2 linked regions of the Rattus norvegicus genome follow. The protein of the gene in region 1 interacts with the protein of each later gene in a pairwise test. Links are inferred from orthologs where the notes say so. Each region holds a gene or a part of one and is shown on either strand. Other genes may lie near its edges.

Evidence for each region.
Region 2: the proteins of Phaf1 (region 1) and Bcas3 interact in binary tests that used the Homo sapiens proteins (3 or more experiments, as listed by UniProt). The link is inferred for Rattus norvegicus from reciprocal best matches to the Homo sapiens genes PHAF1 and BCAS3.

Annotation. Positions count from the first base shown.
Region 1 is NC_086037.1:50,024,937-50,028,449, reverse strand, and holds part of Phaf1 (phagosome assembly factor 1), read right to left. Parts: exon of another isoform or gene 3,351-3,513; coding exon of another isoform or gene 3,315-3,350; intron 2,968-3,314; coding exon 2,924-2,967; intron 2,074-2,923; coding exon 1,994-2,073; intron 1,756-1,993; coding exon 1,661-1,755; intron 1,029-1,660; coding exon 931-1,028; intron 851-930; coding exon 738-850; intron 1-737. UniProt on the Homo sapiens protein: Plays a regulatory role in autophagic activity. In complex with BCAS3, associates with the autophagosome formation site during both non-selective and selective autophagy.
Region 2 is NC_086028.1:70,710,264-70,714,336, reverse strand, and holds the start of Bcas3 (BCAS3 microtubule associated cell migration factor), read right to left. Parts: upstream 2,813-4,073; 5' UTR 2,775-2,812; intron 1,418-2,774; exon of another isoform or gene 1,370-1,417; 5' UTR 1,280-1,369; intron 1,055-1,279; 5' UTR 1,050-1,054; coding exon 967-1,049; intron 1-966. UniProt on the Homo sapiens protein: Plays a role in angiogenesis. Participates in the regulation of cell polarity and directional endothelial cell migration by mediating both the activation and recruitment of CDC42 and the reorganization of the actin cytoskeleton at the cell leading edge.

The sequences.
Region 1 (3,513 bases):
AATCTTTTCTGACTAGTTAAATAAAAGTGGCTATAGTCACTTACTTGGAATTACAGAGGTAGGTTGGGTTTCAGTTACTGAGCTGGGGGTTCGAAGTAGGGACCACAAAGAGAGGAAGAAGGAGAGAGAAGAAGAAAGGAGAGACCAAGAAAGAGGTCTGTCTCCATTAGATGGGATGGGGTAGGATCATATGGCTGGGGGAAGTGCACCCTGACGACAGACTGCTCCAAACAGCCCAAGCTAAACTCAAAACAGCAAGTAACTTGGGGAGCACAGCTAGGAAATAGCCAGTCTAGTGTAATATATTAGGGTAATTGGCCAGTAAAATTGTGCTAAAGCTGATTAAATAAATCAGTGGGACTCAGTCTCAATTATTGGGGACCTGGCCAGGTCATATTAAGAACAAATAGTTATTAATAGAATTCACAGCAACAAGGGTTTCTCTGTGTAGTCCTGGCTGTCCTGGAACTCACTGGAAGCCTGCCTACGTCTATTTGGATTAAAGGCATGTGCCACCACCTCTTGGACAAATCTGAACTAGTTAAGGTATTAGGAACCTTTGCTTTTTGGGAGGTAGAGATCTTACAATTAGAATTAGTGTCCATACAAGGAAACCCCTGAAACATGGGCCCTTTCCAAGTAATAATAAACACGCCTACAAACCAGGAATGAGCACTCAACATGTACTTCAGGTGGTAGAGTAGTTTCTACATAGATAGATACGGTGGGGAACCTACCTGCAGCGAGCAAGCGAAGTCGCAACCCTGAGGGTCCAGTTCCGTCTCGAAGAACGTCTACACTTTCAGCATATACATTCCCCAGGAAACAGCTCAGGGGCATCATAGGAGCCCTGGAGGCACAGAAGGAACAAGGCATGGGCCTCCCTTCCAGCAAGGCCATGGGCACAAAGCTCATGTTCCTCACACTCACTTGGTATCCTGGAGGCTGTTTCCACTATAGATGTACATTCGTTTTACAGTTGCTCCATGGGGTATCTGAAGAGAAGCTAGACCATGGGCAAAATTGGGCTGCAAGTAAGACAAGAATTTTACTACAAACATTATATAAATCACATGATTCAGTGTCTAATATTCCCTGGCACTCACGGTCATTAAGAACTGGTCTGGTCAAAGCACACAATCAAACTTGGTTCTGAGTCAACTAAGTTACTTTAAATAAGCAAGTGCATCTTTCATCTTTGAGTTTTATTGCCTGTCTGCCTTCTTCCCTTCCTGTCTTTTGAGACAGGGCTTACTAATTAATTCAGGCTGGCCTTGAACCAGAAATCTTTCTGCTTCAGTCTCCTAAATTCTGGAATTACAAGTGTGTGTCATCATTTCTGGCTTGTTAAACTTTTGCAGTAACAAGTAACTGAAGATCCAGAGAATGGACTCTTCAAACTGTTTAGGATGTCGCAGTTAGAAAATGGCTGGAGATACCGCTGACAAGGTGAGAGCCTTACCGGCCTCTACAGTGCCAAATGCGCTCTTCCTAGTCATGTTACAGCCTTGTTCTTCCTGTGAACTCTACCCATTCTCTCTCTTGACCATTAAAGAACTCAAAGCCGAGGTAACCAAAGAAAGGTGTCCTACCCATTCCCCTATCCCACATGGACACTGGAAAAAAAAAAAACAACCCACAAGGACCCAGAAGTGCTGACCTCATACTTGGGAGCCTCCGTCCATGAGTCTAACTGAAAAGAGAAAGACAGTCCTCTGAAGTTGAGGTGGAAGAGCTGCTCAGCAGAGTTGTACACTGTGGAGTAAAAATGACACAGCTGACTGGTAGCTGCTTTCCAACATAAACCAGCTTGGCAGGCAGCAATGACTCCAGTAGGGAAATTGCTTTTGTCTAATTTCTCAACTGACATAGGATGAAAACAAGGGTCTGAGATGCTATACACCTATCCAAGGACCTGAGATGAGGAGAGATGGCACCACCCACAGGTTTATTGCTATGGGCTGACCAGAGGAATCAGATGTGTTTGGCTTACCTCCTGGATGGGTTGCACCAAAAGACTGGTCAATTTGCTCAATGGTAGGAGCGATGGCCTGAGAGTTAAAATGCACTCCACTGAAAAATACAATTACTTTTTAATATCAGGTTTAACAAGATGGTCTTAGATCATGAGGAAAGGTGGCTGGCTGGATGTTATTGTTTATTAGGTAATAGAATCTTGCTATGTACCCTGGCTAGCTTTGAAAATACCACAGTCCTCCTATCTAGGCCTCTTAGGCATTGGGATTGCCAGCTTGTGCCACTGTATTCAGCATAGAGTTATTCTTAAAACACATTATATAAAAAGAAAATGACAAGGCATGGTGGTCTGCACCTTGTTAGCACTTGGGAGGCAGATATCACTGAGTTAAAGGCCAGCCAGGTTCCAGGCTACCCAAAGCGACATAGTGAGACCTTGTCTCACAATAAATAAACAAATAAATTTAAAATTAAATAAATTATAAATAAGGGGAATTAGTTAATTAGGTGAGAAATAGGTCAATTCTTGGAAGCCCCTATATGGAGTCAACTTTCTGGGGCTTCCCAATGCCGTTTTGGCCCAAAATAAAAGGACAAAGAAGACAGACCTTGAGGTAAAAAGGTTCTATTGAGTAACACTGAAAGGACAAACGGATCTAGTGTCATTACATATTTGTCCACTCCTATACTAACAAATACTTCCAGAACTGCCCCAGGAAGTGGGTCCTTGTCATGCTCTCAATATGGGCTCACTGGAAGGGACAGTCTTTTTTGTTGCTGCAGTAGTAAGGAATGAACCCAAGGTCACTCATATGCTGGGTAAGCTTTAGTACTTTACTTTTTGTACTTTTTTTACTTTTTGTAATCCTTTAGTACTTTAATGAAGGCAGTAGATAAAGCTGGTCTGTACCACATATAACATATACCAGTAAGGGAGAAAACTTACCAATACTTTAACTTTACTTTTGTTAAGTCATAAACTTCAATCACCTAAAAAATAGAAGAAATTGTTTAGGTACCATAATTGTTGAAGTTGTTACAAAGACAGAGTTAAGAGGCTGTAGCAATAGGATCAAGAGTTCAAGGCTGGGCTGGAGAGATGGCTCAGCGGTTAAGAGCACTGACTGCTCTTCTAGAAGTCCTGAGTTCAAATCCCAGCAACTACATGGTGGCTCATAACCATCTGTAATGGGATCAGATGCCCTCTTCTGGTGTGTCTGAAGACAGCAACAGTGTACTCATATACATAAAATAAATAAATAAATCTTAAAAAAAGAAAAAGAGTTCAAGGCCTGCTTGAGCTACTTGAGACCCTAACTCAAATAAAATACACTCACCAAAAGCCAATTCAAGGATACAATTAGCAATAACATAGTGTCAATCCCAGTGTCTCAGACTCCAAAAGACTCCTCAAGAACCTCTTGCTATCTTCTGTGCTTATTCTAAATTTGGGGAGGGAAAAGCCACATGTGGTGTTGCACATTTGCAGTCTGCACTCAGGAGGCTGAGGTAGGAAGGAGGGTCACTTAAGTTATG
Region 2 (4,073 bases), on another chromosome or scaffold:
AACAACCCCCAAAATGTCACCTTCTTGTGACGCCTCACTACCACTAAAACACCCTCTCTAAATACACATGCTGGTTGGCTGGCATTTCTCTTTCGTACAGATTACAATAATTTCAAGTATATATTTCTTTAAACCATGATGGTTCATAAAGTCCAAAAAAGTATGGCTGTACTGTCATAGAATACATAAAATACAGAAATGCCCTCTTTGTAAGATTTATATTGAGACCGGGAGATCCTTTTACAACACAGTTAAGTAATCATATACGTAAGTACAAATGTATAAATATAACTCAACACACAACAAATATCTAACTTCCTGTTGTGTTGTAGGTGTCTGTGTCTGTCTGTGGTACTAGAGATGGAACCCAGGATTTGAACACTCAAACTCTGACTCATACTCCCAATTCCTATTTCCTTCTATTTCAGATACTGATCAAGGCCATCACAACTAACTGAATGATCCACTAACTCGTGGAACTGTAAGTTTTTAACTCCTTTAGACTTTACCTTTTTGGTGATGCTAGGAACCACACTCAGTGCCTTCCACAAGTTAGGCAAGTGCTCTAGCACTGAGATGCACCCCAAGTCCTCACAGTCACCCCCATGTATAGATGTAGGTCGAATACATCAGCTTAACCCTCCAATTGTTTATTTGCCCTTGACAGTGACATTCATTTCACCTGCATAGCCAAAAAGTAAAAAATGTTTATAGAAGCAAGCACTATCCAATGGATGTTCTGGAAGTTTTGGAGGAGGAGCTGTTTGTTTTCAGACACGGTTTCTCTGTGTAGCTCTGGCTGTCCTGGGACTTGTTCTGTAGACCAAGCGGGCCTCAAACTCGGAGATCTTCCTGCTTCTGCCTCCCAATTGCTGGGATTAAAGGCCTGAACTACCACCACCACCCAGCTCAAACAGATATTCTGAGTGGGAACTGTTTTCTAGAAAACTGTTTTCTTCCGCTTACGTGACGGCCTGAGGGCGGACCACAACTCCACCAGTGCAGCGACTGGGTCTTCTAGGAGAATCTGTAGCCATGGTTTCATTCATAAGACCTGTTTCCAGAATAGAAGAAAAAAAACCCACCATTAGTGTCAGGAAAGAGCGTTTCATGCGTATTCACTAAATATCCCTTTCCCAAACCATGGATTTTCCCAGAAACTCACTATTTAGCTCCAGCTGGCCTAGAACTCCTAGAGACCTGAGTGCCAGACTGATAAGATTATAGGTGTGTACCGCTACACCCAGGAAATTTCTTTTCTTTTAAGATAGGGTCTTACCCTGTAATTGAGGCTGGCCTTGAACTGCCTAACATCTGAAAGTGAGAACAGTTCACTCTTTTGCTGAATCTTTCTTCCTATAATTTAAAACTAGAAAAATAAGAGGAGGATTAAACGGGAACTAGGTAACACAGGGTCACTTAGAAAAACAAATATGAAGCTCACTGTGACATAACATACCAGCAACATACCCAGGAGGGTAAAGCAAGGGAACTGCCATGAGTTCAAGGGCAATGTGAGCCTGAGACTCTTAGTATTACCTTAAAAAATAGGCTGGGGATTTAGCTCAGTGGTAGAGCGCTTACCTAGGAAGCACAAGGCCCTGGGTTCGGTCCCCAGCTCCGAAAAAAAGAACCAAAAAAAAAATGATGATGATGATGATAGGAGGAGGAAGAGAAGGAGGAAGAGGAGGAGGAGGAAGAGGAGGAGGAGGAGGAGGAGGAGGAGGAAGAGGAGGAGGAGGAAGAGGAGGAGGAGGAGGAGGAGGAGGAGGAAGAGGAAGAGGAGGAGGAGGAAGAGGAAGAAGAAGAAGAAGAAGAAGCAGCAGAAGCAGAAGCAGCAGCAGCAGCAGCTGCTAGCCACAGGTGGTGATGCATATGAACACCTGAGAGGAGTCAGGAGGATCAGGCACTCAAAGCCAACCTTAAGGGCGCAGCCACCAATGTAAAGGCCAGATGGCCCATGTGAGCCTAAAAACAAACAACGATACCACTCTGCCTTCAGATAAATCTGCTAATGACAATTAGTAAAACTGTGTGGCTGCATTTAAATAATATTTTACCTCCAGCTACTGTAACGTAATCACCAGCGTGTAAACAAATACAGAATATAAACTCATAAGATATAAGGAGTCCCTGGCTTTTTCCATGGTCCAAGTAAGTCCTGGTCCTTGATTATCTAATGAGCTTCTGAATCACAGAGGAGGTTTGGAGAATACAGAGTCTACTCGATTAAGGTTAAAGAGGGACTGACAACAGGACCAAGGATTTCTTACAAGGTTCAGGAAAGCCCCATAGCCTAAAAGCAGCACTTTTAAGAAGGGTTCACAGTGCCACCTCACATGAAAACTCCCAAACTGATGATCCCCACATTCCTACACAACCCAAACACCACTGTCCCAACTAGTCCAACTACCCCATTCTTAGACAGTACCTTCCACCAGACCCCCTCAGTGCTCTAATCTTCATTCCACCCTCTATTACCCAAACCAGTCTCCCCACCTCTGTCCTTTAAAGGCCTTGTCACCTGAGAACAGCTCCTCGAAAGCCCCTCGGGCCCCACTCTCCCCCAAAGTCATGAGAACAACACTCCACACTTCACCTCCAAAGCCCTACCACCACTGCCCCCGGCCGCCCTCTGGCCTCTTGCCCAGCTCTCCTCCAGTTTCAGCACCTTTCCCTGTCAATTGGGGCTGGTCAAGCCCTGTTCCCTTATGCTGCTTGTCCCTCTCCTTCTCCAAACCTCCCCCAAGCCAAAGACCCGCCAGCCCTCTCACCGGCCGCTCCGCCGGTAAACGCTGTTCTCCAGCTCCAGGCTCACTGTTTGGAGTCTCCCTCGTGATTGACGGCTACCACTTCCTACCACGCCTCGGCGGAACCACCACGTCAGCCAATCCCAGGAGCAAACTGGCCCCGGCGCGGCACCGCCCTTGGAGGTCAGCTTCGCCAACCAGCATGTAGAAAAGAGGCGGACCCGCCTTCAGAATCCATCCAATCCGCTGGGGCTGGAGGGAAAACACAACAGTATGGAAGTTCGGGTGAAGCGGTGGGTCAGGTTCGGTTGTGAATACAGGCAGTAGGGAAGAAAAGGCAGGCGTGTCTACGGGCCTGGAAGAAGCACCCTGGTGGATTTTCTGTTTTAAGAGAACTCAACATGCACCAAACATCTGCGGACCTCAGCCAGGACTCTCCAGCGAGGAGCCCGAAGCCAGGCACACTGGTGTGTTTACATCGAATTCTCGCGACAGCTGATTCGAAGCTAAAAGCACGTGGATGTGGCAGCTGCCAATCACTTTTACCAGACCACTCAGACTGCCCAAGCCCGCCCTCCGTCCCGCCCACGACATTGTGTTTACCTTCCGGGAGTCTAGGTTGGCAGTCCGTGTTCAGTCCTGCTGCCAAGTTTATCTAAATAAGGGGCCTGTAAGAAATCTTGTTGGGGTCCTTAATGGTTACTGTTGTAGGAATGGATGTTCATGAACATCTGGAAATAGAGAGGCCTTGTTGGGCAATACAGGGATCCATAATTCTAAGAAGACTCTGAGGCTTTGCACGATGGCATGGGGAAGATTTTAAGGGGCCCTGGAGTCTGTCTCCTCTAGTCATAGACTAGAGCTCTTGCTCGAGAAACCTACACGCACACTCGCAGCTTTACCTTATCTTTCCCCTGAGCATCTATTAACCCTGTGCCTAAATCTCTTTTTATGGTATTCCGGTAGGCCAACACTGGTCTATATAGCAAGTTCTAAGACAGCCCAGTGCCAGCAAGTTTGAGAACATTAATCCTCCCTAAAGAAATCTTTATAATAAAGTATGATCTTAAAAATCATAAATGGGCCTAGAATTTAGACATGATGTTCCTGCCTAGATGTGAAATAGGCAGCTAGGTATGACCAACAAGGAATAAGTAAAAGGACATTTGCCTATCATACAGGTTAGTGTCAAGAATTGGGACAGGAGGTCATGGCCAAGGCCAAAAAAGTCATTTCTATGGCCATATATGTCTTAGTTAGGGTTACAATTTCTGTGATGAAACATCAAGACCAAAAGCAACTCCGAAGTCGACTGAGGGAAGC